Xenopus tropicalis: one gene and its partners. Each later gene encodes a partner of the first gene's protein in a complex. Links are inferred from orthologs where the notes say so. Each region holds a gene or a part of one and is shown in the gene's direction. Other genes may lie near its edges. The genes, in order: rbl1, lin52, arid4a, e2f5, mybl1, mybl2 and lin9.

What was found.
Region 2: rbl1 (region 1) and lin52 share a complex: the UniProt entries of both Homo sapiens proteins name them as parts of the DREAM complex. The link is inferred for Xenopus tropicalis from reciprocal best matches to the Homo sapiens genes RBL1 and LIN52.
Region 3: the proteins of rbl1 (region 1) and arid4a are in contact, whole or in part, in a crystal structure (PDB 7SMC), measured with the Homo sapiens proteins. The link is inferred for Xenopus tropicalis from reciprocal best matches to the Homo sapiens genes RBL1 and ARID4A. Residues at the interface, in NP_002886.2 of Homo sapiens: Tyr849, Ile850, Lys853, Val854, Thr860, Phe861, Gln862, Met865, Lys866, Arg869, Tyr879, Arg880, Asp929, Leu930, Ile931, Tyr934, Asn935, Val939, Ala946, Leu947; in NP_002883.3 of Homo sapiens: Leu957, Val958, Cys959, His960, Glu961, Val962, Asp963, Leu964, Asp965, Asp966, Leu967.
Region 4: the proteins of rbl1 (region 1) and e2f5 are in contact, whole or in part, in a crystal structure (PDB 5TUV), measured with the Homo sapiens proteins. The link is inferred for Xenopus tropicalis from reciprocal best matches to the Homo sapiens genes RBL1 and E2F5. Residues at the interface, in NP_002886.2 of Homo sapiens: Ser1000, Ala1001, Leu1002, Leu1003, Tyr1004, Lys1005, Phe1006, Asn1007, Ile1017, Met1020, Ile1021, Gly1024, Glu1025; in NP_001942.2 of Homo sapiens: Met162, Ile190, Ala192, Pro193, Ser194, Gly195, Thr196, Gln197, Leu198, Glu199, Val200, Pro201, Ile202, Pro203, Glu204, Met205, Tyr213, Leu217.
Region 5: rbl1 (region 1) and mybl1 share a complex: the UniProt entries of both Homo sapiens proteins name them as parts of the DREAM complex. The link is inferred for Xenopus tropicalis from reciprocal best matches to the Homo sapiens genes RBL1 and MYBL1.
Region 6: rbl1 (region 1) and mybl2 share a complex: the UniProt entries of both Homo sapiens proteins name them as parts of the DREAM complex. The link is inferred for Xenopus tropicalis from reciprocal best matches to the Homo sapiens genes RBL1 and MYBL2.
Region 7: rbl1 (region 1) and lin9 share a complex: the UniProt entries of both Homo sapiens proteins name them as parts of the DREAM complex. The link is inferred for Xenopus tropicalis from reciprocal best matches to the Homo sapiens genes RBL1 and LIN9.

What each region holds. Positions count from the first base shown.
Region 1 is NC_030686.2:42,375,496-42,378,574, forward strand, and holds the end of rbl1 (retinoblastoma-like protein 1), read left to right. Parts: intron 1-440; coding exon 441-605; intron 606-735; coding exon 736-903; 3' UTR 904-2,092; downstream 2,093-3,079. UniProt on the Homo sapiens protein: Key regulator of entry into cell division. Directly involved in heterochromatin formation by maintaining overall chromatin structure and, in particular, that of constitutive heterochromatin by stabilizing histone methylation.
Region 2 is NC_030684.2:81,969,050-81,973,773, forward strand, and holds the start of lin52 (protein lin-52 homolog), read left to right. Parts: upstream 1-1,553; 5' UTR 1,554-1,568; coding exon 1,569-1,587; intron 1,588-4,724. Other genes in the region: aldh6a1 (methylmalonate-semialdehyde dehydrogenase [acylating], mitochondrial), read right to left, coding at 1,049-1,075.
Region 3 is NC_030684.2:103,522,341-103,526,571, reverse strand, and holds part of arid4a (AT-rich interactive domain-containing protein 4A), read left to right. Parts: intron 1-10; coding exon 11-261; intron 262-526; coding exon 527-727; intron 728-1,551; coding exon 1,552-1,636; intron 1,637-1,838; coding exon 1,839-2,031; intron 2,032-2,156; coding exon 2,157-2,219; intron 2,220-3,689; coding exon 3,690-4,231.
Region 4 is NC_030682.2:125,177,646-125,181,876, forward strand, and holds part of e2f5 (transcription factor E2F5), read left to right. Parts: intron 1-162; coding exon 163-415; intron 416-1,481; coding exon 1,482-1,697; intron 1,698-1,860; coding exon 1,861-1,905; intron 1,906-3,352; coding exon 3,353-3,459; 3' UTR 3,460-4,231.
Region 5 is NC_030682.2:118,972,366-118,975,823, reverse strand, and holds part of mybl1 (myb-related protein A), read left to right. Parts: coding exon 1-44; intron 45-497; coding exon 498-656; intron 657-2,078; coding exon 2,079-2,210; 3' UTR 2,211-3,458. UniProt on the Homo sapiens protein: Transcription factor that specifically recognizes the sequence 5'-YAAC[GT]G-3'.
Region 6 is NC_030686.2:39,923,747-39,928,708, forward strand, and holds the start of mybl2 (myb-related protein B), read left to right. Parts: upstream 1-1,945; 5' UTR 1,946-2,086; coding exon 2,087-2,106; intron 2,107-4,281; coding exon 4,282-4,375; intron 4,376-4,665; coding exon 4,666-4,737; intron 4,738-4,962. UniProt on the Homo sapiens protein: Transcription factor involved in the regulation of cell survival, proliferation, and differentiation. Transactivates the expression of the CLU gene.
Region 7 is NC_030681.2:8,014,992-8,019,884, forward strand, and holds the start of lin9 (protein lin-9 homolog), read left to right. Parts: upstream 1-1,776; 5' UTR 1,777-1,963; coding exon 1,964-2,054; intron 2,055-4,893. UniProt on the Homo sapiens protein: Acts as a tumor suppressor. Inhibits DNA synthesis. Its ability to inhibit oncogenic transformation is mediated through its association with RB1. Plays a role in the expression of genes required for the G1/S transition.

The sequences.
Region 1 (3,079 bases):
ATGATTTCTATGGGTTAGTTACTCTAGAGAGGAGGGAGCAGTCTTGAAATAAAAATGGGAGATGTATAAGGGCGAAAAAACATGGGGCGATTAGTTGCCGCAACTTTTTAAAAAGTCTGTTGCGGTGACTAATCGCAGTGACTTTTCTGCCATAGGTTATAATAGAAGTCGCTGCGACTAAACACCCGTGAGTTTTCACTACGCAGATTACTAATCGCCCCCTGTGTCTTCACCCAGATAGAGGACCTAGAAAAAAAGCAATAATAAAATTGTCTTGAGCTGTTTGGTTGCCAGGGTCAGTGACCTTGGCAACCAGCCATCCATCATCATAATGAAGTTACCTAAACTGATCTATCTTTAACATATTAAGTTATTGTGAAGGTGTCCTTTTCCTTTTTATAGCATGGGCCATACATTTGATGTGATTTTTTTCTTTTTAGATGGATGCTCCGCCTCTTTCGCCATTTCCCAGCATCAAGCAACAAGCTATTTCTCCCCGCCGAGTATCCCAGCAGCATTCTATCTATGTGTCTCCCCATAAGAACAGCGGCAGCCTGACTCCCCACACAGCCCTCCTGTACAAGTTTAATGGAAGTCCTTCAAAAGTAAGTTGTGCCCTTGCTGGGGACGTTTATATCCCGATTATAGTTATACAGTAGAATAAAGGGGAGCTTGATTGGTGGCATTGGTTGACATTAAAGGGACTCTGTACTTATTATATTCTGTTTATTGAAGAGCTTGCAGGACATAAACAGCATGCTGAAACAGGAGCAGAGGAGCCGGAAGCGGATCATTGCTATTGACAGCGACACGGAGTCCCCGGCAAAGCGGCTCTGCCAGGAAAATGATGATGCTCTGCTGAAACGCCTGCAGGATGTCGTGAGTGAGAGGGCCAACCATTAGCTGCAGTCTGGCCATTGGCATTCTGTGGTTCCGGCCCATTAAAAAGCTACATTTTAGGCAAGTCTCGGGTCAGTACCCTTCCAACTGGGCCCCCGAGTTCCATTAGGTGTTGGAGACTCTTCTTGCACGTATGATATTGTACACTGTTTGCTAGCTACTGTCTGCAATCTCAATCACTGCAGTTGGCCAAAAGCCTTAGCCACGTGGTCAGTCGTGATGGGACAACTGCCCTGCCGTTTCCATGGTTTTATCTATTTTTTTCTTAACATGATATTTTTAACCTATTGTGATAAAGGAAAGTCTATCGTTCCTCAGTTTTGCCTTTATATGAAACATATATGGCTTACTGAGTTCATCAGGGTTGAATGTTGTGAGCTGTAATAATACTGCCGGTGGAGGCGCCCCCTAGTGGACTGAATTCTATTTCATTACCTGCAGTAGCATTTTACTGATACAAAGCAAAGCTTCATGAGTACATTTTTTAACTATAGACTTTTAATTTTATGAACACTAGCTTTCAGCAGCGCAGCATACAGTTTTTATTGTTCCTTTTTAAGTGTTCTTTTTGCTCCAAAAGCATTAATGGAGATTCTTTTTATTGTAATGTATGAACTTACAGATTGAGTTCAATCAAGATCTGGCAACAAAATCTTGGATTTTCCAGCGTTGCGCTGTGTTTATACAGTCATTTTACGGACTCCAGGGAAAAGGAGTAGAAATATTTGGCAGTGCATTTTCTGTGCTGGGTTTTTCCTGCTCTATCTGCGTGCAGCCATTTTATCTTTTTATTCCTAGCGTAAAATGAAACCCTTTGATGTGAATCTTTGCTGTGCTTTTTTGAGCTGAATGAAATTGTGTAGCATCTACACCTTTTTATGGTTTGCTGGCACCTTTTTAAATCTCTGTACATAACGTTTTATTGTACATTACAATGTCACTTCCATTCAGATGAATCTTCTTGAAGCATCCTATTCACAATTCTGACTTTTACATTATATATGGTACACCAAATAAGAGAGGAGGAATGAAATCTATGCAGCCCCAGATCCTTGCAACAGACCAATGAAGCATCTGCCTGAAATGGAGCTGCAGGTGTACCACAATAGTGTAGGCTGAAGGTTATAGTATATAAATGTATATGTAATATGCCTATGTGTAAATATGTAAAATAAAAAGGTCCCTACTATTACTGGGTACTTGTACTGACTTCTTTTGGTGGGGCTGAAAGCCTAAACAGTTGGAATAACAAAGTGTGGAGGAGCTGTAACTACAATTCCTCATCTGCCTATTTGCCATACTCTGTTGCCCAGCTGATGAACCAATCAGTATCCATAATGGGGTGCAGGGGTCATGGACAGCCAATGTTAAACAGCCTGGGGACCCATTTTATGATCCCAACCTAAAGTTTAAGAATCCCTGGCCTGAGGGTGCACTCTCTATGGTGATTAGCAGCATCCAGCAAAATGAGAATTTCTACCGCAGTTTACAATGACTGCACACAAGGCTGCAGATGCGGACCCACCTTCCATCATTTTCTGAACAGCCCGCACCCGCAAACACAACTCCCGATCCTTCTAATGCTGGCCTGCTAGCTGCAATTAACGGGATCCACACTTTGGTCACCACGCAACTCAAAATGATCAAGGCAGACCTCTCCCTGCTGTGCCAGAACTTCCAAAACCTGCAGAGACCACACAACCTGTGCTTAGCTTTGGTGATCCGACTTGGAGGACGTGGTCCACCGAGTACCGGACAAACTGGCGCAACTTTGGCAACAGGTGCGGGCACTTAATAATAGAGCAGAGGGCTTAAGCAAAGTAATCATCTCAATTGCTCATGTAGATCAAACAGGGCTTGATACCTAGCTAAAGTATTGCTGTTAACTTGGGATGACTATACACTCACTTTCAAATTGAACATGTATGCAGTTCTAGAATCCTGGCCTCTTTAGATGCCCCCTAAGGCAATTAACGTTGAATGACTTAAAGGAACAGTAACACCAAAAAATGAAAGTGTATAAAAGTAATAACAATATAATGTACTGTTGCCCTGCATTGCTACAACTGGTGTTTGCCTCAGAAAGACTACTATAGTTTATATAAGTAAGCTGCTGTGTAGCCATGGGGGCAGCCATTCAAAGGAGAAAAGGCACCGGTTACTTAGCAGATAACAGATA
Region 2 (4,724 bases), on another chromosome or scaffold:
TAATGTGGCAAATCTGTTGGCAGTAAAATGCCAAAATAACTTTTCTTCTCCTTTAAAAGTATTCCAATTATTCATCCTGTTGCACTACCCAGAATGCAGGCATCATCACCCATAAAGGTAGCCCTAGATCATGGGTGTCAAACTCAATCACATAAGGGGCCGAAATCTAAAACACAGGCCAAGTTGAGGGTCAACCATGCCTGACCGTGCAGCACCACTGGGACTGGAGCAGTGATGTCAGGTGATAGGTGCTGCATGTTCAGACACAGTCACCATCGGCCACATAAAACAGCCAGGCGGGCTGGATTCGGCCCGCGGGCCTTGTGTTTCACACATGCCCTAGATAATCAACAGTTTATCCATTCCTATGCTAATATATAGCACAAAGCAGGCATTAGCTGCCAACAATGCCCACATAACCTACTGCTGGCAATCAGTGTGCAAGTCCATATAGGTATTTTTCTGAAGTATACCTTCTTATTAGGATCTCAGCATAAGCTGCATAGCACTGAACATTATTAAGCACCCACTGGGAATATCTGATATATCGCCTTATATACATGGGAGTGTTCATGTGCAATGATATGCAGCCCAACAAAGCACCAAATTTTGCAAAGTAAATTATCCAAAACTTAACAAAGGAGTATATCAGATTAATATTAATCAATAGGAATACCAGATCAATCCTCACACTATTTGGTTCACTACTTGAATCTTAGTTTCCTTCCAAGACTTTTGGCAAGGCCTGGGCTGGGCATACCAATACACGAACTATGAAGGCCTCTAGAGAAAGGGCAGTGACCCATCCTCTCCGGTGCAAAATTCTAATGCAGGGGCCCAATTTACTACCCCCAACACTGAGTCACTACCGACCATCAGTCTCTTAATCCCAGCCTCCTTTATCCGCGCATATCAACGTAGCCCTGCTTGTAAAATAGCACCTTCATAATATAGTTTCATTCGTCTATTGGGAACACCCATTTATTTTGGGTACCTGGGGATATTCTCTCCCCCACTCACTCATGTCAATGTACTAGCCCACACTCACCCTCACTATTCCTCTGATCCGCATCATGCTTCCTTCAGAATCCCTGAGCTTCTCAGAGACTGAATGACAAGAAGCCACACCTCTACCCCGCCATTGGCTGATGATGCCACGGCCCCTTAAAAAGTGTTTCCTATTGGCCTGCCAGAAATAGTGACCGATTGTGCGCTAACTCAAGGTTTGACCGACTGGTGCCCTACTATGTGTGCCTTGATTGGCTCATATTTGTCACGTGATGACTCTTGGATCTTCACCGCTATTTGCCATTTTTACGATCGACAAAATGTGTAGGAACATGACGCCTTCTTGGTGTCTGGAAAGTGATGTAGCAAAAAGGCAGTGCATCGCACCATGCCTTAATGGTTAAAACATTATTGTACAAGTTAACTTTAGTCTTTAAAAAATAGACGTTTGTGTAAGCTATGGGTGGGTGCAGCAATATGGCGCTTAAGTATAGAGCGTCAAATTGGGTGTACCAAGATGGAATGTTTAAGTCTATTTCTGTCACGTGACAAGTGAGAAAATGGCGGCAGTTACGGATGGTAAGCGGTTGTTTTTAATTTGTAGGTACACTAATGGGCTTAGAGGAAAGTATTCTACATATATGTATCCGATAATTGCTTCTAGCAGCAGGGTAAAGCCGATGTGTGTTCCCGCTGCGCATGGTTACTCTGTCGAGAAAGTACTGGGAGTTTATCATTAAACCTTGAAAATAACAGTGAATGCATTGCGATGTTCTGTGCTGCTCTGGTGATCCCTAGCCATGTCAATAATTAGCCGCAGACAATGAACTGATCCTTCTTTTACTTTTCACATGTAATAAGGCTTCCTATTGACATCAGGTGGAAAGTGTACAAGCCTTCGGCTTCGTCTAGTTTGTAGGAAGGTGTACTTGCACAATTTGGGATGTTGCCAATGTACAGACATTAACCTAAATACTACTACTCATAGACGAATGTAGCATAGTGCACATGCGTAAAGCTGTTAGATCCTAGTGTGGATATAGCTCAGTGATCAAGCTACTAAAGGCAATTAAAGAAAAGAGTGCTTTATTTTAGCTAAACATTATCATAATCACAAACCTAATGTCCCAAAATTATATACGAGATATTCACGCTCATGAAAAAAGTATTATACAGTCTAGCCTAATCCTAATGACCCAAAGTATACTACGTAAACCCAAACTCTTCCTATCAACATACATGTAAAAAATTTGTGTAAAAGCTTTGTGAGTTGAACCCAGAACCCTAACACAGAAGGGCAAGAATTCCGACCACTTTACCACAATGCTACTTGGTTACTCTAGTGTGTGAAAATGTATTCTTGTGAATACACCTTGCCAACAAGAAAAGTTAAAATCTAGCTTGTTTTGTATGAATAGCCTAGATCCTTTTGGTGTAATGTCCTTTTGGTGTAATGCCCAAACAGCCCCCACCTGGCTAATAAATGTCTGGCATCTAACAGCAGCCCATCTGGCATTCCCCTGGATCCACAGATAGCCAGTCTATACCTACAGGTGGGAGTGACTTGAAAATGGTAACAGAAAAAAAGATACAGTAAGAGCAGAAGAAGTAAAACCTTGCAGAAATAAACTCTCCTGCATACAGGTTTAGGAAGAGTGAGGTACTTTATAACAGAACCCTACCAAAATAAGATTTTTTTTATCTTTTAAAAGAATAGCAAGAGTATATGTCCTCTTTATTTTACTTCGTTTGAGCAAAGGTCTATACTGTTTTTGTTACCTCAAATCTATGTGCTGAGATCTTTGTGGGGTATGAGTGAGAGTTTACTTGCAATAGTTAATGGATAACGCTCAATTTAACTTGTTTTTTTCCCTTTGAACGCATTCACAGCTATAGTTTACAAGGGGAATTATACCAGTTTTAACCTGTTGTGTGGCTTTTACGTATTTTTTTTCTCAAATTATACTCTGCAAGTAGTAAGCATGGTTTGCAAGCATGATACCTTCTTAAAACACAATGCTAGCAAAATTCACTGGGGTTGCCAAGTTGTCAGCCACCCCCCATGATTGTAATCATCAACAAGAGAAGTTGTTCACATTGTGCACAGTACAAAACTCACTGAACAATTACTGGACTCTGCTTACCCAGGGCAATAGAGGAGCTTTGGAAAGAGCAGGGAAAAATGGTTATGGCACACTCTGCAGAAAAAATGCAAGCTTTGGGTCTCTGCTCTGTAAATATAATCATGGGGGGATGACTAACAAATTGGAGCCTGCCAATGATTTTAGCTTTTATCATCCTTTAATGAGTGAAATTCATAGAGATTTTCATTTGTACTAATGGATTTGTTCATATGACCCAAACACTTTATTTACTTAGCTGTTAGTACATGCTTTTACATATCACACTGGATGGTTTGTAGCCTAGATCCAACTTTTAAATGGAAAAGAGCTCTGTTTAAAGATGCACTTAATCACAGGCAAGTCTAAAGACTGGAATTCTCCACATTCTGAATTACATCAAATTGACTTTGGTTGCAGCTAAAAGAGTTATATTTAAATAGTGGATTGAGTCCTCCCCTCCCTCATTCACTGACATTTAAGCAGAACTAAATCTTTGTAAAAATGAAACTATTCATTTCAGATTCGATAGCTTGAAAACACCATTTAAAATTTACATCAAAATGGAAAATATTTGCAAAGCTTGGAAAATAAGGAAAGAGATAAGATACATGACATCCTTTATCATTAAAATGGATTCCTACTATACGTAATCCTAGCCATGAAAATAATACTTGGCACAAATTTTTTCTTGAACTCTAGTAACTTTAATATATTAAATATTATTACAATTAGTTTTATGTAAGATTGTAATTGTTTACTTTTCAATGCTTACCTTTTATGATCTCTCTATTTTGAATGAGATTCCACGTTCACCTGTATGTTTTCTTGAATACTAATACAATGATTAAAACAAAAAAATGAACTTTACACTTTTTTCAACACAAGCAAGATAAATAGAATGTATGTATAATATAGTATACTTATGTATTATTATTTAGTTTTTACTTTATCTACCTATTTTAACCGCTATCAACTGAGTTTAAATAGGGCCAATAAGCTTTGTATAAACAAACACCATACTATTTATTGATCTGATTTTGAGCTAGAGGTGACACTGCCCCTTTAAAACCAGTGGGAAGTAAGTAGCTAAGGTCACAAAGTCACAAGATTTCACTTAGTTGACTATTCAAAAATAGTTTTGGCATTTAAAGGAACAGTAACACCAAAAAATGAAAGTGTTTTAAAGTAATTGAAATATAACATACTGTGGCCCTGCACTGGTAAAACTGGGGTGTTTGCTTCAGGAACACTACTATAGTTTATATAAATAAGCTGCTGTGTAGCCATGGGGGCAGCCATTGAAGCTGGAAAAAAGGAGAAAAGGCACAGGGTACATAGCAGATAACAGATAAGACACCATTGTATTCTACAGGGTTTATCTGTTAGCTGCTATATAACCTGTGCCTTTTCTTCTTTTGAATGGCTGCCCCCATGGCTACACACCAGGGTTTATATAAACTCTAGTAGTGTTTCTGAAGCAAACACAAAACTTTTACCAGTCCAGTACATTATAGTTTAATTTCTTTAAAATATATATATTTTTTGGTGTTACTGTTCCTTTAAGCTGTTAATCAGCAAACGTTTTCAAAATGT
Region 3 (4,231 bases), on another chromosome or scaffold:
CTTCTTTTAGGGGAGGAGAAGGTGTGCATTCAATGCGTTTTCTGTTGTGACGGATGTTGAGGACAGTGACACTAGAAAGGACAACAACAAGGAAAACAAGGATATTGAGGAAGACCTGAACAAAACAGAGGAAAAGGAGGAAGATGAAAGCACTCCTGTGCGAAGGAGCTTACAGTGCCGAGCAAAAGGAGATCAGAAAACCAAAAAGCAAGATGAGTCAGAAAGAGAATCTGATGAAGATGATGAAAAACCATGTGAAGGGTAAATAAGTCATTAATATCACTATGCAAATGTTGGTGCACCAATCTGTAGCCATTCAGAACTCAATAAAGCCCCATTATGGACACCAGCAAAATACATGATACTGGCCTCAAAGTCTAGTCTCGCCCAGTGATTTAAGAAAATCGTTGGTTCCTTGTGTAGAGCTATTTTGGAAAGAAACCTTTTCTGCTTGTCAGCATTCTGGTTAGTTTTCATGCACAGTATTGATGAGATTGATAGATGGCCTTGTTTATTGTTTTTATAGAAAAGAGGATTCTGAGCACAAGGGAGAGACTGAAGAAGAGGATGAAGACACAGAGGATCGAGACTATCTCGCTGGAACTAAAGTTAAAGTGAAGTATGGGCGTGGGAAAACTCAGAAAATTTATGAGGCAAATATAAAAAGCACGGAAGTGGATGGAGGAGAGCTATTATACCTGGTTCATTATTATGGCTGGAATGTAAGGTAAGTGTGAAGAATGTAGCTTTTTTTATTGTCCATATGTGCCCCACCAAAGTATTAATTTGATTATTTGTATGCTGCCAACTATTACTCAGTTTGGTCAAAACATCTAATTTCTGTCAACCCCAGGTAACCAGTTGGGAGAAACGTTTTGAATGGTGTTAATTTTTAATTCTTAATCTCAGTATGGCTCATTTTACTTCGCAAATGCAGTAGCTTTGTTTTTTCCCCACAGTGCACCATTTCTTCCCAGAATTCCAATGACATTGCAGTTGCAAGGGGGCAATGTGCTTGCAGCAGTTACACAGCAACTGCAGTTACATCTGGTTTGCCAGAATTAATGCAACTGTGCATGCATTTTCCAAATTGGATGGAATTGCACAGAAGGGAGTCTGGCCTCATTTGCAGGGATCAGCAAGTGACACCTGCACCTTGTTCTAAAGGCGCAACTTACTGCACCTATTGACACAGGAGCTACCGCATGGTCAGGAGGTGCCAGTAGTGCCAGGAATCCCCTCCGTTAATAGGTGCAGCAGCACTACATGAATCGAAAAAAGTGAAAGCAGGAAGGAACTGGAGCCATTGTCAACACTGGGTCACATTCAGTCTGTTCAGACAAGATTTTGGAAAGCACAGGCTAAATAAAAATTCCTCTTGACACTGGCAGTCAATACACCCCATCTGATATTATACTTGGAGGTTTTATAAACCACAGCTAGGCTTAGCTTATTCCTTTTGCTTTCAATGTTTACACTTTGTTATCTAAGAGGCAATGTCCTACAGCATATAGTTTTGTTTCAGTAGCATGATAATGTACTCTCTTGCAGATATGATGAATGGGTAAAAGCTGACAGAATCATCTGGCCTTCAGACAAGGGTGGACCAAAGAAAAAGCAAAAGAAAAAAACAAAAGTAATTACAAAACAATTTTTTTTTTAATTAACCATTTACCATGTTCCATGAGTCTTTCTGCTTAAAAAGTGAGGAATAAACCATACAAATTTTAGAGGGCCAGAACAACCCCTTTTTGAAAATATGTTTATCTTGTCTGTGGATTTTTCTGAGTCTTTAATTTATATACATTATTTATTTTAATTTATTATTTCCCTGCCAGAATAAAGATGAAAATGAAGAAAAGAAAGAGGATGATAAGCGATCAAAACGAGGCCGTCCTCCTTTAAAGTCAGCTCATCAGACTAATATGACCTGTGGTCTGCCAAAAACTCCGACTAGCGAGGGCAAGACATCCGTTAAAAACATGAGAAATAGCTTATCGGATAGCTCCTCATTATCAAATGGGCTAGAAGGTAAATGTAGTGCAAATAAAAGTCATAATGAAGGGCTTAGGTTACAAGCATTGTTTAAAATGTATACTGTTTGTTCATATGTATTTTCATTTTACTTAGTTATTATATTTTCCTTTGTATAATAGGATCAGCCAGGAGAAGAACAAGGAGGAGCTCTGGATTATATGATTCTGACAGATGCTCAAATGGTGGGTATTGGGTAACCAGAGCATTTTCATTATGACTTTTATAGCTACCACATATTTTGATAGTATTTTAGTAGTTCTTGCACACCCAGTTGTCATTCTTTGATTATTTTTCGGTATATCACATTCTTTTGATATTGTTTTTGCTGAATAATACCCACTTGAGAATAGAAACAAAATCCTAGATGAGACCCATAATCAGTAAATAGCTTATGAGTTTAATGAGTTTATTGGAATACTCAAAGAAGAGGGTAAGCTATAAGATGGGTACAGCCTAATCTTTCGAGTAATAGGCTATTTACAAACAACCTATATCTTTGAGTGGACAGATGTCTAACATTCTAGCCAGAACATTACTTCCTACTTTCAGCTTTCTAACCTCTTAAGCTGGCCATACACGCACCGATAATATCGTACGAAACCCCGTTTCGTATGATATTCAGTATGTGTATGGCGAGTCGACTGATATCGCAAGAGGCTGCTGATATCGGTCGACTCGCCGATCGGCCAGGTTAGAAGGCGCCTGATCAAAATCTGCCTTAAGGGCTGAATCGGCAGAAGGAGGTAGAAATCCTATTGTTTCTACCTCCTTATCTGTGGCCGACCGATGGTCGCACGAAAGATCGGAAATCGCCACGTGTGTGGCCACCTTTAGTCAGTGACTTTAGGGGGGGGCCACATGGGACATAACTGTTCATTTAGTTTGTGAGCATGAAGGTCAGATTCAAATGCAAACTAACTAAACAGGTATGTCCTTTATGGCCCCCCTCAAGTCAATGATTGGTTACTGACTGCTAACGGCTTAGAAAGCTGTAAAGGAGGAAGTAGAGCTCTGGCCATTATGTTAGGCAAAAATATAATCTATAAAGGCAGATGTCTATCTATATTGAAAACTTTTATATTTTACCCAGTTTCATTTTAATACTGAACTGCTCCTTTAACCTTTATGATTGCACTTTTTAAACCAACATGATGGCTTCTCTAATTAGTTTGAATTTTTGGTGGCTTATTCTGCCATTTTGTTAAGAAACATGTAGTCTGTTACTGTTTTCAGTTAAGATCCAAATAATCATAGCCATAAATGTAGCTTAAGCTCTAGAGCAAAAAAAACATGTTGCTCACACAAAAATAGCGTTGCTCACATCTTTTGACCAATCAGACATGATTATGTCATGGTAAGCATACTAAAAGCAACACTATACAGATCATGAAACAGAAATGTGCCTGATCCTTATTATGCAAACGGATGCATTTATTCTTATATTAATGTTACATGGAGTTGTTATAAGCTTTTATAAGCTATAGAATGACTAAGCACTGTTAAGAAGAATAATTTGATCCTTATTAATATATTTATTAATATGCCTTAAACATTTTGAATTACCAGCAAAGACATTTTTACAATTCAGTTTTATTTCAAAAGATATCATTAACATGCCTCTTCTAACTCTTGTTTATTATTTCCCATCCCAGACTCAAGCACATCTGAAAGTGAATCTGATGAAACATCAGAAAAGGCATCAGTAAAAGAGGAGGAGGTCCTACCAAAGGCTGAAGAAGAACCAGAGAACATTTTAAGCCTAGTTGATATCAGTCCTGTAAAGGAAGTGCCGCCAGTAATTTGTCTTCTAAAAGATCCGGAACACAGTCCAACAAAGCCAGCAGAAACTTTAAAACAAGAAGTGGAGGAAAGTGAACAAATCGTTCAGATTTACGGAAAGCAAACAGAAGAATTGGAAGAAATAAAGGAGGCAGAACATCTGCCAAAGTCCAAGGGAAGGAGAAGTAAAACAAAAGATTCTTCTGTAGAGAACACAAAATGTTTGTCAGCAACTCAGGAAGATACATTGGTTGAGCCTCATGTGGAAGAGGACACGTTAGACCTTCCATCATTATCCCCTTTACAAAGTAAGGAGCTGCCGTTCACTCCAAAGGAAGCAGAACTTCCGAATGACCAACTTGCACAGGAGAAAAAAGGACTAAAAAGAAAACCACTAGAGCAGTCTTCTCCTGAC
Region 4 (4,231 bases), on another chromosome or scaffold:
CAGTGGTTGGCCGGCTTGTGCCTGTGGGTCCCATAAGTATTAGCTTTTGTGGATTGGCTTTATTTCATAAATTTTATCTGTAAGTAAGTTTACATGTATAAAGCACTGCATTCGTATACAATGTACCAATGCATTTTGGGGGGGTGTTGTTTTAACTTTTAGGGTCAAAACGGACAGAAGAAATACCAGATTAGTTTGAAGAGCAATTCAGGTCCTATTCAGGTACTTCTGATTAATAAGGAATCCAGCTCCTCCAAGCCTGTCGTCTTTCCTGTTCCTCCACCGGATGACCTTACACAACCCAATTCACAGCCTGAAGCTACGGCCTCTTCAAACAAACAGCCAGCAGCACAGAGTAGCTCTCTCAGTGTAAAAGAAGAACAAGAGAGTAACCTGACAGAGCAGGCAGCTGCAGGTGAGTAATGCATTTTGTTTGCAGTTGGTGAAAATGAAGTGACCCTGGTGGGGGGAAAGCAAAATAAACCAATACAGCACAGCCAGCTGGCTGGGTAGCTGGAACATCCCACTGTCTTGGGTGGGATTAGGGGTGGTGTTTCTGCAAGCCAAGCATTCCTATCAAAACAACAAACAGCGCCTACATTGTGCTATTAATTGCTTCCATGGAGTGCAAACACAGCAGTGTGGTTATGTTTATTTGCACTCCATGTTCCCTTGCACTTAATAAAAGTCCCTTTCAAATTAAATATGAAATACATTATACTTTTTTTTTTTTTTCTTAGATGTTGTATATATTGCCTGTCCTGCCTGTGCCTCAGGCATAGTAGTGGAACAGGCAGTTAGTTTCACTTTCCATTCTGCCTTTCCTAAATGTCACTGCACTCCTCTCATTCCCCCTTCCTCCTCACGGTGTGTATCATGGGCATCAGACCTCCATTCTGGCTCATACACAAGATTTTGAGATGATGATGCTCACTTAAATAACGGTTCTCTCCAGTTTTTTACCCTAACAACCAGGCAATAATTTAAATGAGGGTGGAATATAAATAGAAGGGGGCTAAATAAAAAGATCAGAAAAAGTAACAATAATTACGTTTTTGCTTCACAGAGCAATAGTTTTTGGACTGCAGGGGATATTTGAAAACTGGGGAACTCTGACCCCTGCAGGAGGAAGGCAAATAATTCAAAAACTATAACTTTAACTTAAAGGTGACCCACCCCTGGAAATAAATGTTTGGTTGCCAAAGGATACTATAGTGGTATGTTTTGCATCTTGTGTCTAAGACAAATCCTGGAACCTGGGGTTTTCCGGATAATGGAGCTTTTTATAATTTGGATAGTCATACTTTTAAGTTTACTGAAACAAAATCAATAACACATTAAGTAAACCCAGTAGGATTGTTTTGTCTATCTTGGTTGGGATCAAGGACAAGGTGCTTTTTTATTATTACAGAGAAATATTTAAAATGGAGTCTATGGGAGATGGCATTCTTGTCATTTTGAGCTGTATTTGATTTTTTTAGGTAAATTAAATCCTGAGTGCCCAGCCAGCGATCTGCAGGAGAACACATCAAGCTCTTACCCTGAACTTCCCGAGTCCATTCTGTATTCTGCACTTGGAACAGATGTAGCACAAAGCTCGGCCGCTTCCAGCGACTATTCCCCTCTGCTTCCACTGGATGTTAATAGTATTCTGAGACCCAATGCCTTTGATATAACGAAAATGGATGAGCAGGAAGGTAAGCTCTCTATACTGTGCGTTACTTCTGGCAAGAGGGCCCAGGTTGTAGCTTTCTGTGCCTGAAACATTAATGAAGCCAAAGAAGCATATCTCTAATTTCAGTTTAGCTTTTTTTTCTGTCATAAATCTGCTCTTTTACATTACTGTACTTTGTTGCCTAGGTCAAATAAGCGGAGACCTTATTGATGAGCTTATGTCTTCTGATGGTATGTAACACCCATGTTCTCACACAGGTTGCCTTTAGGGCTTGAATATTTCTAAACTTCTACCAATGTCAGCATTATTGGTGGGAAGGCGATGCTGGTAACTTTAGTTCTATAAAATGTGGTGCTTTACCACTTTTGCGGTTGTGTGATTTAGGAAGGTAACTATTGTCACCCCTAGATTTTACAGAAATATAACTCACCGTATTCATCCACTAGCTGAGCTGGTAGCACGATGCAGTTCTGCAATACCTGCAGTACCAAAGAACTATTATGGGATCAAACATGGCTACAGTTCATATATAGTTTGAACTATAGTACCCAAGAACTTGTGGCATGGTGATAGCACATTGGGGTGCTTTGCCTGTGGGATTTGTCTCCCCCCCTCATGTGGCAAAATGCCTGAATATTCCTAGTCACCAAACATGAGATGTGAATAATACTTGTGCCTATTGTTTTAATTGCAAAAGGGCTTTGTCTTTTTGTTTCTTTAGTTAAACAGGGAAAATGAAGCTACTTTGTGTTTGGTCCTTGTGAGGTAAATCAAATTCCAGTGTCCAGATAAATACCCCTGCATAATGTTTTTCTGATGATCTGGAAGCCAAAACGGTCACAACAAAGTTATGGGTGGGGGTTGGTTGTTGGTAATCTAATTGTCTTTAAATGAATCAAACATGTAGTAGCTTCAACTTCCCTGTTTCCAGGCAAAAAACCGACTTATCTTATTGCTTTAATAACAAGATGTTTAGTATTCACTGCACTCATGCTGTATGATGGGCTATGCTGCCCCTGTGCGTACCAGCGGCCATACTGGGAACCTGTAATAGTGGGGTGCAGAGTAAAGAAGCAGTGCAGACAAAAGCCAGATGCTTTCAATAGCAATTTCCAAATAACTTCAACTGAATTTAATGAATGTATATTGACTAGAATGATATACGGGTCACAGGGTAGTTTACATTAACTTAAGTATATTCTATCCTTTCTATTATCATTAATATATATTTATAACATTCTTCAACTCTTTTCAGTTGACATTCATCTATAATAGTTTTACTTTAATTATTTACTTTTTCTTCTGCCTCTTACCATTTTATTATTTTTTTTTTTCATATGGGGGGTCAGTGACCCTGCACCAAAAAAACTTTCTTTGAGAGGCTACAATTTTATTGCTTTTTTTTTTTTTCCCCCCACTGCTTATCTTTCTATTCCGACAGTATCCTATTCATTTTCCAGTCTCTCATTCAAACCGCTGCCTGGTTGCTAGGTTAAATTGAACCCTAGCAACAAGCTGCTGAAATTCCAAACTGCAGCACTAAATAGTTCAAAGTTGACCAAAAACTAAAGACCTATTGATGATTGTCTTGGAATCATAGTTAATTATTGGTGAACTATCCCTTTTAAAAAAATTTTTTAAAGCTTCTTTTTTTTTTTTTTTTTTTTCCCCCTCTAGTTTTCCCGTTGTTACGGCTTTCACCAACTCCAGATGACTACAGCTTCAATTTGGATGACAACGAAGGTGTCTGTGATCTCTTTGATGTGCAGATATTAAATTATTAGGCACAGTTTTGGGGGGTTTCCTTTCCCAGTCTCTACCTCTCTGCCCTACTACTAGCAGGGAAAATATCCATAATGTTGATCTTTGTACTATACATGTATATAGGCTAGGGTCGTATTTTTTTGCACTTTGAAAGTAGATATACTGAGAATGATATTCCAGGTTTAATGATGAAGTCTAATCTTTTTTTTTTGTTTTTTTTAAATCCTTGATTGTCATAAATTTATGTTTCAATTGAAAATGCATTCATTTTACGGTTTTCAGTTCCATTCTTCCACAATTTTTTATCTTTGAACTGTGTAATTCTTGTCACGTGGCTGAATCGGAGAGTGAGAACTAATGGCTGTTTGGGTCTCATGTACTTGTGCTTTTCCATGCCAGTGCAGTCGGAGTGACTATTCCAGCTGTATCTAAGCTCTTCTATTGCTGTCTGTTTGCTGCAGTCTGTGACCAGATGCGATGTCACTATCCGCACTCTTCCTGGATTCTGACTGCAGTCTGATGAGGCCGTATATACTTAGGGAAAGCTTGCATGAAGAGCAGATATATATGGGGCCTACATTTATCTACTTTGTTAGTAAAGTTTGCCAATATTCCTGTCTGGAAAGAACCTTGGGAATTTAATTAGACTGCACTCCACAAGGGCCACTAACTTTCTGTCGCATGTGGGTCAGACCATTATTACTAACCTTTGTGTGCAGGAGGTTATTATAGTAATGAATGGAGGGCACTTTAAAGCCCCTTTTGTAGCAAAAAAAGTATCACCATGACTTT
Region 5 (3,458 bases), on another chromosome or scaffold:
TTGGTACAGATTATTTGGCTCCAGATGAGGTTTCTGAATCACAGGTATGGAATACTTTCTTTTTGTATTGGTCAGCAATATGCAGCTGTAAATAGTACACACAGAAGGTATTATGGCAAACAAACTAGAACACAAAACAATTAAGGCTTTCTTCATTCAGTGTGGTTGTTTGTTGAATTACTTACAACCTAAATACAGGACAGTTAAAAGAAGAACATTTCTGGCAAAAAATCTAAAAATACTAACTGGTGCAGAAAACTATTTAAATTACCAAGGGCACTTAGATACCTTTGCAATGTTACATAGCAAAAGGAATGCTTATTTGTCCCTCAACTGATGATTATGTGCAGAAGTCTCTTTTTTTTGCTACCATTTTTTTGCTACCAGTATGTCAGACTTTATGACCAAGTTTAACTCACAAGTTGATGTACATTGGTACTTTATTTTCTACCGGGCTGTTAACAAAACAACAATCCATAATGCCTTTGTATTATCAGAATGGGAATACACTTCCTACGTCTTTCCTAATGATACCTTTGGGGGAGAGACAAGACCGAAAGTGCAATGTGAGCACTGAAACTCAAAAAGGAAATGTAACACAAAGGAAAAATTACATTCCTGCCATGAGAAATGTCAAGGTGCAAAGTTCTGTGCAGGTATGTTGCATTTCCTTCAGTCATTCTTAATGACAGAGGGTATAATGTCCCAAGAAGACTTTAATCTGAAAGCAGTAATCTATACTGAAAGCATGAATCCCATACAAGCATATGCTACAAAAGAGTGCTATGATGTCACCATCCATTGAATGTAGCAGAATAAAAGAGGTGTTTCTAGAAGGGGATTCCAGATAGCTAATATAAACCCTTATAGAAAAACACAGTGGGAATTGTACATCTGAACAGCTTATGGCTGAGCAGAAATATCAGTGCTTCTGTCTCTGACATCTGAACAGCAAATAGATCTTAGATCAGTTGAATGCTTGCATCCTTGGTTTGTATGAAACAAGAAATACACAGGATACAGGTTCTACAAATGTTATAATATACACATATAATACACAGAGCTGTATAATATATCTTAATAAACTCTGCTTTAGTGATGTCATTAGTTATAATCAGTTCTTGGTGATGTCAATGAATAATGTTGTACACCAAATAGGTATTATATGTATTATAAAAGCTAATTTACCTCTGCACAAAAATATGATGAGTTTTATGATTTACAAAAATGCTTTTATGGTCATCCAACTACTCTGTATATAATTTACAATAAGGGATACACTATTTACTATACAGGTATGGTATTCGTTATCCGGAAACCCATTATTCAGAAAGCAGCCGGGAAGGCCATCTTCGATAGACTCAATTTTAATCAAATAATTTACATTTTTAAAAATGATTTCTTTTTTCCCTGTAATAATAAAACAGTAACTTGTACTTGATCCCAACTAAGATATAATTAATGCTTACTGGAGGCAAAATCATCCTATTTGGGTTTGTTTAATGTTAAAATAATGTTTTAGTAGACTTATGGAGTTCCAGATTCTGGAAAGACCCATTATCCAGAAGACCCCAGGTCCCGAGCATTCTGGGTAACAGGTCCTATACCTGTAGTATAATCTGATTTTGATTTTTTATCTAATAGTATGAAGATCCAAATTACAGAAAGTTTTTGGAAAACCCCAGGTCCTATACCCGTATAATTCTGTGTGTGTAAGCAGTAATGGCTCTTCATTGTTATGCATAAATATAAGCTTCTTTCCATTTTAATAATGACCCAAGAAGTGCAACAGAGGATGGTGATTGTACTCCATTTCTTACAGTGCCACATTTCTTGATCAATATTGAATAGCAATACTTTAAATCTATATTTATAATAGCAGCTATTTTTTATTTTTATTGGAGTGCTGGTTTATCGCAGCATTATTGTTTTATGTATAAATATGTATTAAAGCATCTTCTAATGTGAAATGCACACCTCTGCTGGGATATAAACAGAAGTATAAGCTAATCAGTCCTAAGTCACCTGAGTCACCACTGTATTTGCTTGTTGCTTACAATTGTGTATTTGCCTTTCAGCCTCTCTGCGAATGGGAAACAGTTGTATATGGGAAGACAGAAGACCAAGTAATCATGACAGAGCAAGCAAGGAGATACCTTGATACCTACAAACAAGCTTCCAGCTCTGGATTAAGGCACCTAATTTTATGAATGTTGGATGATAACTGGTGATGCCAGTTGCCCCCTTTTTTACACAGTGCACTATAATTGTTAATATTTTACTTATTAATTGTACAGTAGAACTTTGTATTATATCATAGAAGTTTTATTTAGTATTGCTTTAAAAAGAAACTTTAGAGGTTTTTATAGGCTCTGTAGATTTGAAGTTAAGATCCATCCTGAGCAAAACTAGAGTATAACCAGAAAATGTTGTCTTTATTCATTAGCTGGCTTAGGTGAGAACACTACAGGCATAGTTCTCTAGGTGAGTTGTTTAATTGTAAAAATAAGGATTTTTCTTTTCAACATGCTGACAGCCACATAAGACATGTATATTTTTCTGCATCTTCAGTACCAAAACTTATAACAATTTACGACATTTTAATGACATATATAGATTTATATGTGCCACATAGGAGTGATTTCTGCTGTATTTGACTTTTTAGTCTGTCTCCTTGGATTTTTTAATACCAAAACAGATCATAATTTGAAGACTTTATAGAGTGATTATGGTCAGCCAGCTTCTTCATATGAGCCTCTTGCTGGCTATGTATGAGTTTGCCTAACCAGAGAGTTCAGCAACTGCCTTATCTTTTCATAAATGACTTTAAAGTTATTGGGAAAGGCTGTCAAATAGGCTAAGAAGCTTTCTTCTTTCTGGAACCTACTCCTACTTTTCAAAGAGCATCAAAGATGTCTTTTGAAGCTGTTTTAAAGAGTTTTAAAAGATAGACAAGTGATATCATTTACATATTTACAGTAAATCAATAATGAAAAAAGTCCACCTTTGTTTAAATGTTACAGAAGGTACAGATACAGTCAACTCCTTTATGTATTTATTACGACAAATCCTTTTGTAATAGATTTTCATACTAAGACTTTTTTTATGCTCGTTATGTGTGTGTTTGTGGCCAATGTCTCCAAAAGTCTGGTACTTCATTTAGTTGTCAGGAAGGTCAAGCAGTTGCACTAATAGAATTCTGTACAGTGAATAAGAACCCAGCAAAATACTAGTGTTATTGATATTTATGTATACATGGGTACTTACAATTTAGGTAACCAACAAGGGAATTTTGTCTTTCTGAGATAGAATGTATCAGTATTTGTTTCTCAGGCTGAGAAATGTGATAGGATGTTTGAATGTATTTTACAGGGTGTGGGAACATGATGAGATTTTCCCCCTGCATCGCTTCATGCTTGCAGGTATAGGCCATTGTCTATATACATGCAGGTTTGTGA
Region 6 (4,962 bases), about 2.5 Mb from region 1:
GGTCTGGAGAGTTATTGTAATATTTATTACGGATAGTAGGCTGGGATAACAGTTGGAAGCCAGAAGGAACCAGGCTCCAGTAATCCCACTATTATACACCTCTAAAAAGGACATATGATTAAGAGATTTGTATATAAGCACTCCCTGTAGGGCTTTGCCAACTATCCCACAGCATTCAATTAGTTAGAATTGGCTTAGGGCAGTTAGGATAACAACACACAATACTCCCAAGTGTGAAAAATCACTGCAGGTGTAGCAGGTTGTTACTATTCTTTAAATGGGAAATGTTGCAAGGGATGCCTGTTGTAGGGTTGCAGAACAGGGAATGTGAGTAAGTCTATGTTGTTGTAGTAGTTTTACTATTGGGAAGTCACAGGCCAGTCCAGGCGCAGACTGGTAATTTGTAGATCCAGACAAATGTGGGGCTGCTGTAAGATGCCATAAGGGGGCTGTTTGGGTCTCTATGTACTTGGAACATATTTTGTATCCCAGTCCTGGTCCCCTCAAACAGCATATTGCTTGATGAAAGTCAAATATTCCAACATGTATTTTTGCCTCCAACATATTAAACAAAGAACAACAAAGTTTACCCAAAACAGACAAAGGAAAACATATAAAACATCTCAGCTTCCAAAGCCATTTGTGCATACAACAGCCAACTGGCATTCAAATGAATGGCAAGCATCTCAGCACCTATCTATGTCTCTGTTAATCACCTGGCCAACAAAATGGTTAAATTACTAAACATGCCAGCACCTTCACACAGCAACACAATATGGGTTTGTACTAAGCCCTAGTAACAATTACGCGACACACCACCAACTTGATTCCCTTTGTGCAGCCACTTACCTTCCCTGATAGATTTCCTCTAAATGATTTATTCTGGCTTCCAGGCAAGTAGCCTTTTATATAGTGTTTTAGGAGGTTAAGTAGCCAATCAATCTCGCCTTGTGACCCCACCCATTATCCAATTATCCCATTCCTCACTTGTAGTTGTTAGGCCAGACCAGCTCATAGGGATGCTGGATACTGAGGAATGTGAGAGCCATGTTTCAAGGGAATGTTAACTGTTACATTAAATTTGTATTTGTTATAGAGACATCCCTGCTGTACCCCCATAACGTCTTCCTAACCTAACACCTCTCCATTTATCTTCACTGTCTACTTTATAACCTTCCTCCATCTCAGTTATGGTTTCCCCCAGTCTTCTCTCTCATATAGAAGTTCCATTTTGCTCCCCCTGTTCCCAGTTGCAGAGGGTGGAAGGGAAAGTGATATAATTTCTGCCTTTACTGAGGGTTCTTTCCACTACTGGGCAGTCACTCCTAAGCCATGCTGCTCAGACTGGGTTCAGGAGAGGTTATATTTGAGCACATACCCCACCCCCCCTCAGCAATACCACTTGTAGCCAGCCAATGGCAGTCCTGTAGAAGTACCTAATAAACATTTCAGGTTTTTTTTGTTTTATTTATATTTCCATTCTATTTTTTTTCCAGCCTGCAATTGCTTAGTTGTCAAGGTTACCTAGGTAACTGAAAAACAGACTGACTGTGAAGGTTCCATTTCATTATTATTATTATACTTCTATGTTTGTTGCTAGGGAACTCCCATTCTAGTAACCAGGCAGCAGTTCAAATTTAATGTTCAAAAACCTATACACTCATAGCAAATCTGAGGTGGTGATGTCAGCGTAAACCCCACTTAAAATGCATGGCTTAACGCTACCGTCGCCAAAACTAAGAGGAAATGACTGTCTAGTCTGGAAATTTTTAGAATCCTCTGTCACTCGGGTTGTTACAAAACGTAATAGGCGCCAGAAGCTGTCCCTCATTTCTAGCTTTGATTGGTCGCCGGGAAATCGCTGACATCAGTGCGCTTGCTGTTCATTGGTTAAAACCGGACGCATGGCCCTCCCCACATATAGAAGTGACAGGCACCTAGAGCGCCTCCGTATGGGCTGTAGGCCCCGCCCAGGGAGTGGGTTCCGCCCCGGAAAGGGAGTTCTGTGGGTGCGTGCGCAGCTGGCGGGAGATAGGAAATAACAATACCGCCACAGACTGCGCACTGAAGTGTCCGGAGCGGCAGGATGTCCCGGCGGGCCCGCGGGTGAGCCTGGCACTAACGGGTGGGGCAGTGGGGCTGCACATACGGGCACAGCTACTACTTTAGAACCCGGCGGCCTTTTCTTACTACTTTTGAGTAGGTGCCAGTCACTGGGCGTCTGCTTTGCGCTTTCAGTTCTGCGCCTCCTCCCTGCCCTGTGTTATCGCCCTTACCCTGGCCTTGCCTCTGCCCTGGCCTTGCCTCTGCCCTGGCCTTGCCTCTGCCCTGGCCTTGCCTCTGCCCTGGCACCTGCCCTGGCCTTGCCCCTGCCCTGGCCTCTGCCCTGGCCTTGCCTCTGCCCTGGCCTTGCCTCTGCCCTGGCCTTGCCTCTGCCCTGGCCTTGCCTCTGCCCTGGCCTTGCCTCTGCCCTGGCCTTGCCGGGCTCTCACCTATTGGCCTTCTCTGGATTTACTAACTTCCCCCATTCTGGACTTTCCTGTCTAGTTGGGCTTCTCTGTCGGTTCCACATGCCTAAACTATAGCTAAACTATTCTACTGCTTCTCTCTCCACAGCTGGGCTCTTTGCTCTCTCCCCAGTCTCCCCTTCCCTCTACCCCCCAGCTCTCTCCCCAGTCTGCCCTTCCCTCTACCCCCCAGCTCTCTCCCCAGTCTCCCCTTCCCTCTACCCCCTCAGCTCTCTCCCCAGTCTGCCCTTCCCTCTACCCCCCAGCTCTCTCCCCAGTCTGCCCTTCCCTCTACCCCCCAGCTCTCTCCCCAGTCTGCCCTTCCCTCTACCCCCCAGCTCTCTCCCCAGTCTGCCCTTCCCTCTACCCCCCAGCTCTCTCCCCGGTCTCCCCTTCCCTGTACCCCCTCAGCTCTTTCCCCGGTCTCCCCTTCCCTGTACCCCCTCAGCTCTTTCCCCGGTCTCCCCTTCCCTCTACCCCCTCAGCTCTCTCCCCAGTCTGCCCTTCCCTCTACCCCCCAGCTCTCTCCCCAGTCTGCCCTTCCCTGTACTCCCCCAGCTGCCCATCACTGTCACCCCTCACCTCTCTCCCCAGCTGCCCATCACTGTTGCCCCCTCAGCTCTCTCCCCAGCTAGTATTGCCAACCCTTGTTTTTGTCTATTATCTTTCTAGCCTTCTCTTTACTTCCCTTGTTCTGTCTCCCCATAAGGACTTTCCATGTCCACCCCGAGTGGGCTTCCGTGCATTGCCCCATTGTCCGCTCTCCCCCACCCCCATTTGCACTTTCCTATGAAGCTTCCACTGTCCTCCCTCTGAGAGTTTTCCTTTGGCTTTCCATACACTTCAGGGCATGCATATCTGCCCTACTACCCCATATTTCTCTCCCTGTGCTTCCCACATTTCCCAGTACTTCTCAGACCTTCAGTAATGCTATGTTTGTGCACAGCTGGCCCCCAACGACCCCTTTTGTTTTGGCTTTTGTCTTATTGCGCCAGGAGGTTAACTTGTGACTCTCCAGCTGGGTTTGTCCCTGCTCTCTCAGTGCTCCATTCCAGCTGAGCGCCACGTTCTGCAGCCTCCCTGTGCTTGTTTGCCTGTCTCTGCTCCTCATTTATAACCCTTCTTAAAGAGAAAGAAGTTTTTGTCGGCCATATTTCCTTAGATTCTTAGTAATTTCTTTCTTGTATATCTAGGAACACTACACTTTTTGTGTAAAGGTGCCTCAGGATGTCATGCTGATTACAACTCCCTCCCCCACCTTCACACTTCTCCCCTTTGCAACCCACCTACATTGACTGCATTTACAGAAATATAATGCACTTATCAGACGCTTAAGTAAAACCCAAGGATGACTTCCCTAGTGCACAGTTTTCTCTTTTTTTTTTTTTTTTTTTTTTGTTCATGTTTCTGCCTGTAACCTTGTGTTCTGTCCCAGCTATGTGCCACATGTAGGATCCTTTGCTTTCCCAAGCTGAATTCCACCCCACCCCCCTTTCTAGTTGACCCAGCCCCTATGTGATATCTCCAAAAGCAAGCTGGAGAGGGGTTGCTGGAAAGTTCGACCTTCGCATTTGGAGTAGTGGCCACCCTCATGGCACCCTGGTTTTTTTTTTTTTTTTTTTTAATCCTTGTTTTGCTAGATTAACAGACACCCTATTCCCTGGGTGCTTTGAGTAATGCTGCCTCTTTCCATATGCTGAACCTGTGCTTATTTCTGGGACACTGTTGCATGTTGACTAAATACTAATAATAATTTTTTCTTTAACCCATACAGAGATGATCTTGAGGATTTGCAATATCAGGACACAGACTCTGATGTCCCGGAGCCAAAGGAAAGCAGGGTCAAAGTGAAGTGGACCCCAGAAGAGGTACAGTATGCAATTAGATGTATTGCTAGAGCAATACAATCCAGAGTCCTTATCTCTTGCCTAGGGCTGGATGAGAACCCTTCTGTCCCTCCAGTGCTGGTCTTTGGACTTCTTACTGTGACTGACATCTCTGTCATCCTCTGGGGGTCTTATATGTTGGTGATACTATTTACATAAAATAGTACAGGGATGTCACTCCCCAGTATTAGGTCATGCGTAAAAATTGCTCCCGTCCGTGTTTCCCCCAGTAAGGTATTAATTATTGTTTCCATTTTGTTCTGTTTCATTAGGATGAGACGCTAAAAGCCTTGGTGAAGAAGCATGGACAGAGTGAATGGAAGGTGATTGCCAGTAACCTTACTGTAAGTTCCATCATCCCTTCAGTGTAAATCTTACATTTCACCATGCTTTATAAGTCTTATAGAAACGCAGCTTAGTGAGCAAGTGCAATTTTCCTATTTGGTTTTTATCCGCAATGCAGCTTTTTGCTGGAATCCCTACACAACTGTAACAGCGCTGGGAGTTGTAGCCACTGCATTTGTCCCAACATGACAAAGCTAAAGCAATTGCGCATATAAAAATCAAGT
Region 7 (4,893 bases), on another chromosome or scaffold:
TGTGGTCCTCGTCCTGACTGGAAAATCATACACGCCGGATATAGGTCAGACAGGCCCATCAGCCGGCCCCATATATGGGCCAGTAAGGTGCAGACTCAGTCCATGTACGACCACCTTTAGATATGGCAAAGAAGAGGAATTTGAGAGACAATGGCGGCTGGTTAATGTGGATATTGTACTGGCACCAAGGGAAAACCCTTGTGTTTTTGGACTATTGCAATGTCCAGATAAAGCCTGCATCAGCTTCAACATGTGTCTTACCCTTCGTCTTTGGGGAGGTGTGAAAATCTGTGTAGCGACGATGCACGTCGGCCTAGTATCTATTGGATTAAACTTTGCAATCACTATTACATATTTAGCCAGACAGTTTGGCTGACTTTGATCACCCTGCCCTACTATGTGGGTGCGTTTGGCAAGGTACAGGGCTGTTAGAATATCAGGGGTGTCTGACTCAGGTGTTGCTCTCATGGGTCCATTGCTGACCAACATCTGGCAAAATACAACCTGACTAGCTCATCTGTGGCAGTATTATTATATAATATACCGTTTGGTAATTTCCCTATGGGAGCTTAGTGATGCAATTTCTGCCACAACTCACTAAAACTTGTATATTATAATAAAAAAAAGTATCCTCTGTGGTAAAATATGGGGATATTAGAAGTCACCTTGGGAGTTCCATGACTTGTACAATAATATCCCTATATGTTACAATAGGGGGTACTTTATTCGCTATATATTATAAGTAACCCCTTGCGAACTTATAATATCCCTATATGTTACAATAGGGGGCACTTTATTCACTATATATTATAAGGAACTCCTCGGGGGCTTATAATATCCCTATATGTTACAATAGGGGGCACTTTATTCACTATATATTATAAGGAACCCCTCGGGGGCTTATAATATCCCTATATGTTACAATAGGGGGCACTTTATTCACTATATATTATAAGGAACTCCTCTGGGGCTTATAATATCCCTATATGTTACAATAGGGGGTACTTTATTCACTATATATTATAAGGAATTCCTCGGGGGCTTATAATATCCCTATATGTTACAATAGGGGGCACTTTATTCACTATATATTATAAGGAACTCCTCGGGGGCTTATAATATCCCTATATGTTACAATAGGGGGTACTTTATTCACTATATATTATAAGGAACTCCTCTGGGGCTTATAATATCCCTATATGTTACAATAGGGGGCACTTTATTCACTATATATTATAAGGAACTCCTCGGGGGCTTATAATATCCCTATATGTTACAATAGGGGGTACTTTATTCACTATATATTATAAGGAACTCCTCTGGGGCTTATAATATCCCTATATGTTACAATAGGGGGTACTTTATTCACTATATATTATAAGGAACCCCTCGGGGGCTTATAATATCCCTATATGTTACAATAGGGGGCACTTTATTCACTATATATTATAAGGAACTCCTCGGGGGCTTATAATATCCCTATATGTTACAATAGGGGGTACTTTATTCACTATATATTATAAGGAACCCCTCGGGGAATGTAAATGTGAGTTTTACTGTAAATACCAGAGCGCCAGTAGCGTTCCAGCAATAATGCTCCACAGAATCCCCACAGCCCCCTCTCAGGGACACAACCACTGTGGGATGATGGGACTTGTAGTCCAGAAACAGCTTCAAGCCTCACTTTTAACGAACTACAGGTCCCACCATCCCACATAAAGCCCCTGTGAGAGCCGCTATACCCGGCGGTGCAACCCCGTCCCGTTACTATGAAGGGGGCGCGCCTGTAAGATTTCTTGGCCGCGCACAAAATGGCGCCTGAGGCGGGTACGCGCACGCACTGTTTGTCACTGACGTCACGTTCTCGCCCAGCAACGCGATCCGGAGCCCGAATGGCGGCGCAGAGAGGGGAGTTCAAACCGAGCGGAGGCTTCCCCAGCCCTTGAGTCCCTGGGAGGCCGCCATGAAGCGCATGAAATCGGTCAGGAGCCCCGCCGGGCCCGGGAATGAGGCGGAAGAGGCTCGGCCGCTGGAGCTGCTGGCAGAGGAAGAAGGTGAGAGCCGGGCTGCTCCTGTCAGTAGCGGGGTGAAGGCTCCATAGGGAGCGGGCAGGCTGCCGGGAACTCGGGGTGCGAGTGGCCCTTCTATTCGCTGGTGGTTATTATACAGGGGCCCCCGGTCCCAGCAGCCCTGTCTTCTCCCAGCGCCCTGCTGTGTGTGTCCCTTACTCTCATATCCCTGCCCCTGGGTTCCCTGTGTTATGGGCCCCCAGCCTTCCCCCTAATGGCAGTCACTGGGGGGCCCAGCCTTCCCCTAATGGCAGTCACTGGGGGGCCCCAGCCTTCCCCTAATGGCAGTCACTGGGGGGCCCCAGCCTTCCCCTAATGGCAGTCACTGGGGGGCCCAGCCTTCCCCTAATGGCAGTCACTGGGGGGCCCCCAGCCTTCCCCTAATGGCAGTCACTGGGGGGCCCCAGCCTTCCCCCTAATGGCAGTCACTGGGGGGCCCAGCCTTCCCCCTAATGGCAGTCACTGGGGGGCCCCAGCCTTCCCCCTAATGGCAGTCACTGGGGGGCCCCAGCCTTCCCCCTAATGGCAGTCACTGGGGAGCCCCAGCCTTCCCCTAATGGCAGTCACTGGGGGGCCCCAGCCTTCCCCTAATGGCAGTCACTGGGGGGCCCAGCCTTCCCCCTAATGGCAGTCACTGGGGAGCCCCAGCCTTCCCCTAATGGCAGTCACTGGGGGGCCCCAGCCTTCCCCTAATGGCAGTCACTGGGGGGCCCAGCCTTCCCCTAATGGCAGTCACTGGGGGGCCCCAGCCTTCCCCTAATGGCAGTCACTGGGGGGCCCAGCCTTCCCCTAATGGCAGTCACTGGGGGGCCCAGCCTTCCCCTAATGGCAGTCACTGGGGGGCCCCAGCCTTCCCCCTAATGGCAGTCACTGGGGGGCCCCGCCTTCCCCCTAATGGCAGTCACTGGGGGGCCCCAGCCTTCCCCCTAATGGCAGTCACTGGGGAGCCCCAGCCTTCCCCTAATGGCAGTCACTGGGGGGCCCCAGCCTTCCCCCTAATGGCAGTCACTGGGGAGCCCCAGCCTTCCCCTAATGGCAGTCACTGGGGGGCCCCAGCCTTCCCCTAATGGCAGTCACTGGGGGGCCCAGCCTTCCCCCTAATGGCAGTCACTGGGGGGCCCCAGCCTCCCCCCTAATGGCAGTCACTGGGGGGCCCCAGCCTTCCCCTAATGGCAGTCACTGGGGGGCCCCAGCCTTCCCCTAATGGCAGTCACTGGGGGGCCCCAGCCTTCCCCTAATGGCAGTCACTGGGGGGCCCCAGCCTTCCCCCTAATGGCAGTCACTGGGGGCCCCAGCCTTCCCCCTAATGGCAGTCACTGGGGGGCCCCAGCCTTCCCCCTAATGGCAGTCACTGGGGGGCCCCAGCCTTCCCCCTAATGGCAGTCACTGGGGGGCCCCAGCCTTCCCCCTAATGGCAGTCACTGGGGGCCCCAGCCTTCCCCCTAATGGCAGTCACTGGGGGGCCCCAGCCTTCCCCCTAATGGCAGTCACTGGGGGGCCCCAGCCTTCCCCCTAATGGCAGTCACTGGGGGGCCCCAGCCTTCCCCCTAATGGCAGTCACTGGGGGGCCCCAGCCTTCCCCCTAATGGCAGTCACTGGGGGGCCCCAGCCTTCCCCCTAATGGCAGTCACTGGGGGGCCCCAGCCTTCCCCCTAATGGCAGTCACTGGGGGGCCCCAGCCTTCCCCCTAATGGCAGTCACTGGGGGGCCCCAGCCTTCCCCCTAATGGCAGTCCACTGGGGGGCCCCAGCCTTCCCCCTAATGGCAGTCACTGGGGGGCCCCAGCCTTCCCCCTAATGGCAGTCACTGGGGGGCCCCCAGCCTTCCCCCCCTAATGGCAGTCACTGGGGGGCCCCAGCCTTCCCCCCCCTAATGGCAGTCACTGGGGGGCCCCAGCCTTCCCCCCCTAATGGCAGTCACTGGGGGGCCCCAGCCTTCCCCCCCCTAATGGCAGTCACTGGGGGGCCCCAGCCTTCCCCCCCTAATGGCAGTCACTGGGGGCCCAGCCTTCCCCCCCCTAATGGCAGTCACTGGGGGGCCCCAGCCTTCCCCCCCCTAATGGCAGTCACTGGGGGGCCCCAGCCTTCCCCCCCCTAATGGCAGTCACTGGGGGGCCCCAGCCTTCCCCCCCCTAATGGCAGTCACTGGGGGGCCCCAGCCTTCCCCCCCCTAATGGCAGTCACTGGGGGGCCCCAGCCTTCCCCCCCCTAATGGCAGTCACTGGGGGGCCCCAGCCTTCCCCCCCTAATGGCAGTCACTGGGGGGCCCCCAGCCTTCCCCCCCTAATGGCAGTCACTGGGGGGCCCCAGCCTTCCCCCCCTAATGGCAGTCACTGGGGGGCCCCAGCCTTCCCCCCCTAATGGCAGTCACTGGGGGGCCCCAGCCTTCCCCCCTAATGGCAGTCACTGGGGGGCCCCAGCCTTCCCCCCCTAATGGCAGTCACTGGGGGGCCCCAGCCTTCCCCCCCTAATGGCAGTCACTGGGGGCCCCAGCCCCCTAGGGTCCTGGGGCCCCAGCCTCCCCCCTAATGGCAGTCACTGGGGGGCCCCAGCCTTCCCCCCTAATGGCAGTCACTGGGGGGCCCCAGCCTTCCCCCCCTAATGGCAGTCACTGGGGGGCCCCAGCCTTCCCCCCCTAATGGCAGTCACTGGGGGGCCCCAGCCTTCCCCCCCTAATGGCAGTCACTGGGGGGCCCCAGCCTTCCCCCCCTAATGGCAGTCACTGGGGGGCCCCAGCCTTCCCCCCCCTAATGGCAGTCACTGGGGGGCCCCAGCCTTCCCCCCCTAATGGCAGTCACTGGGGGGCCCCAGCCTTCCCCCCCTAA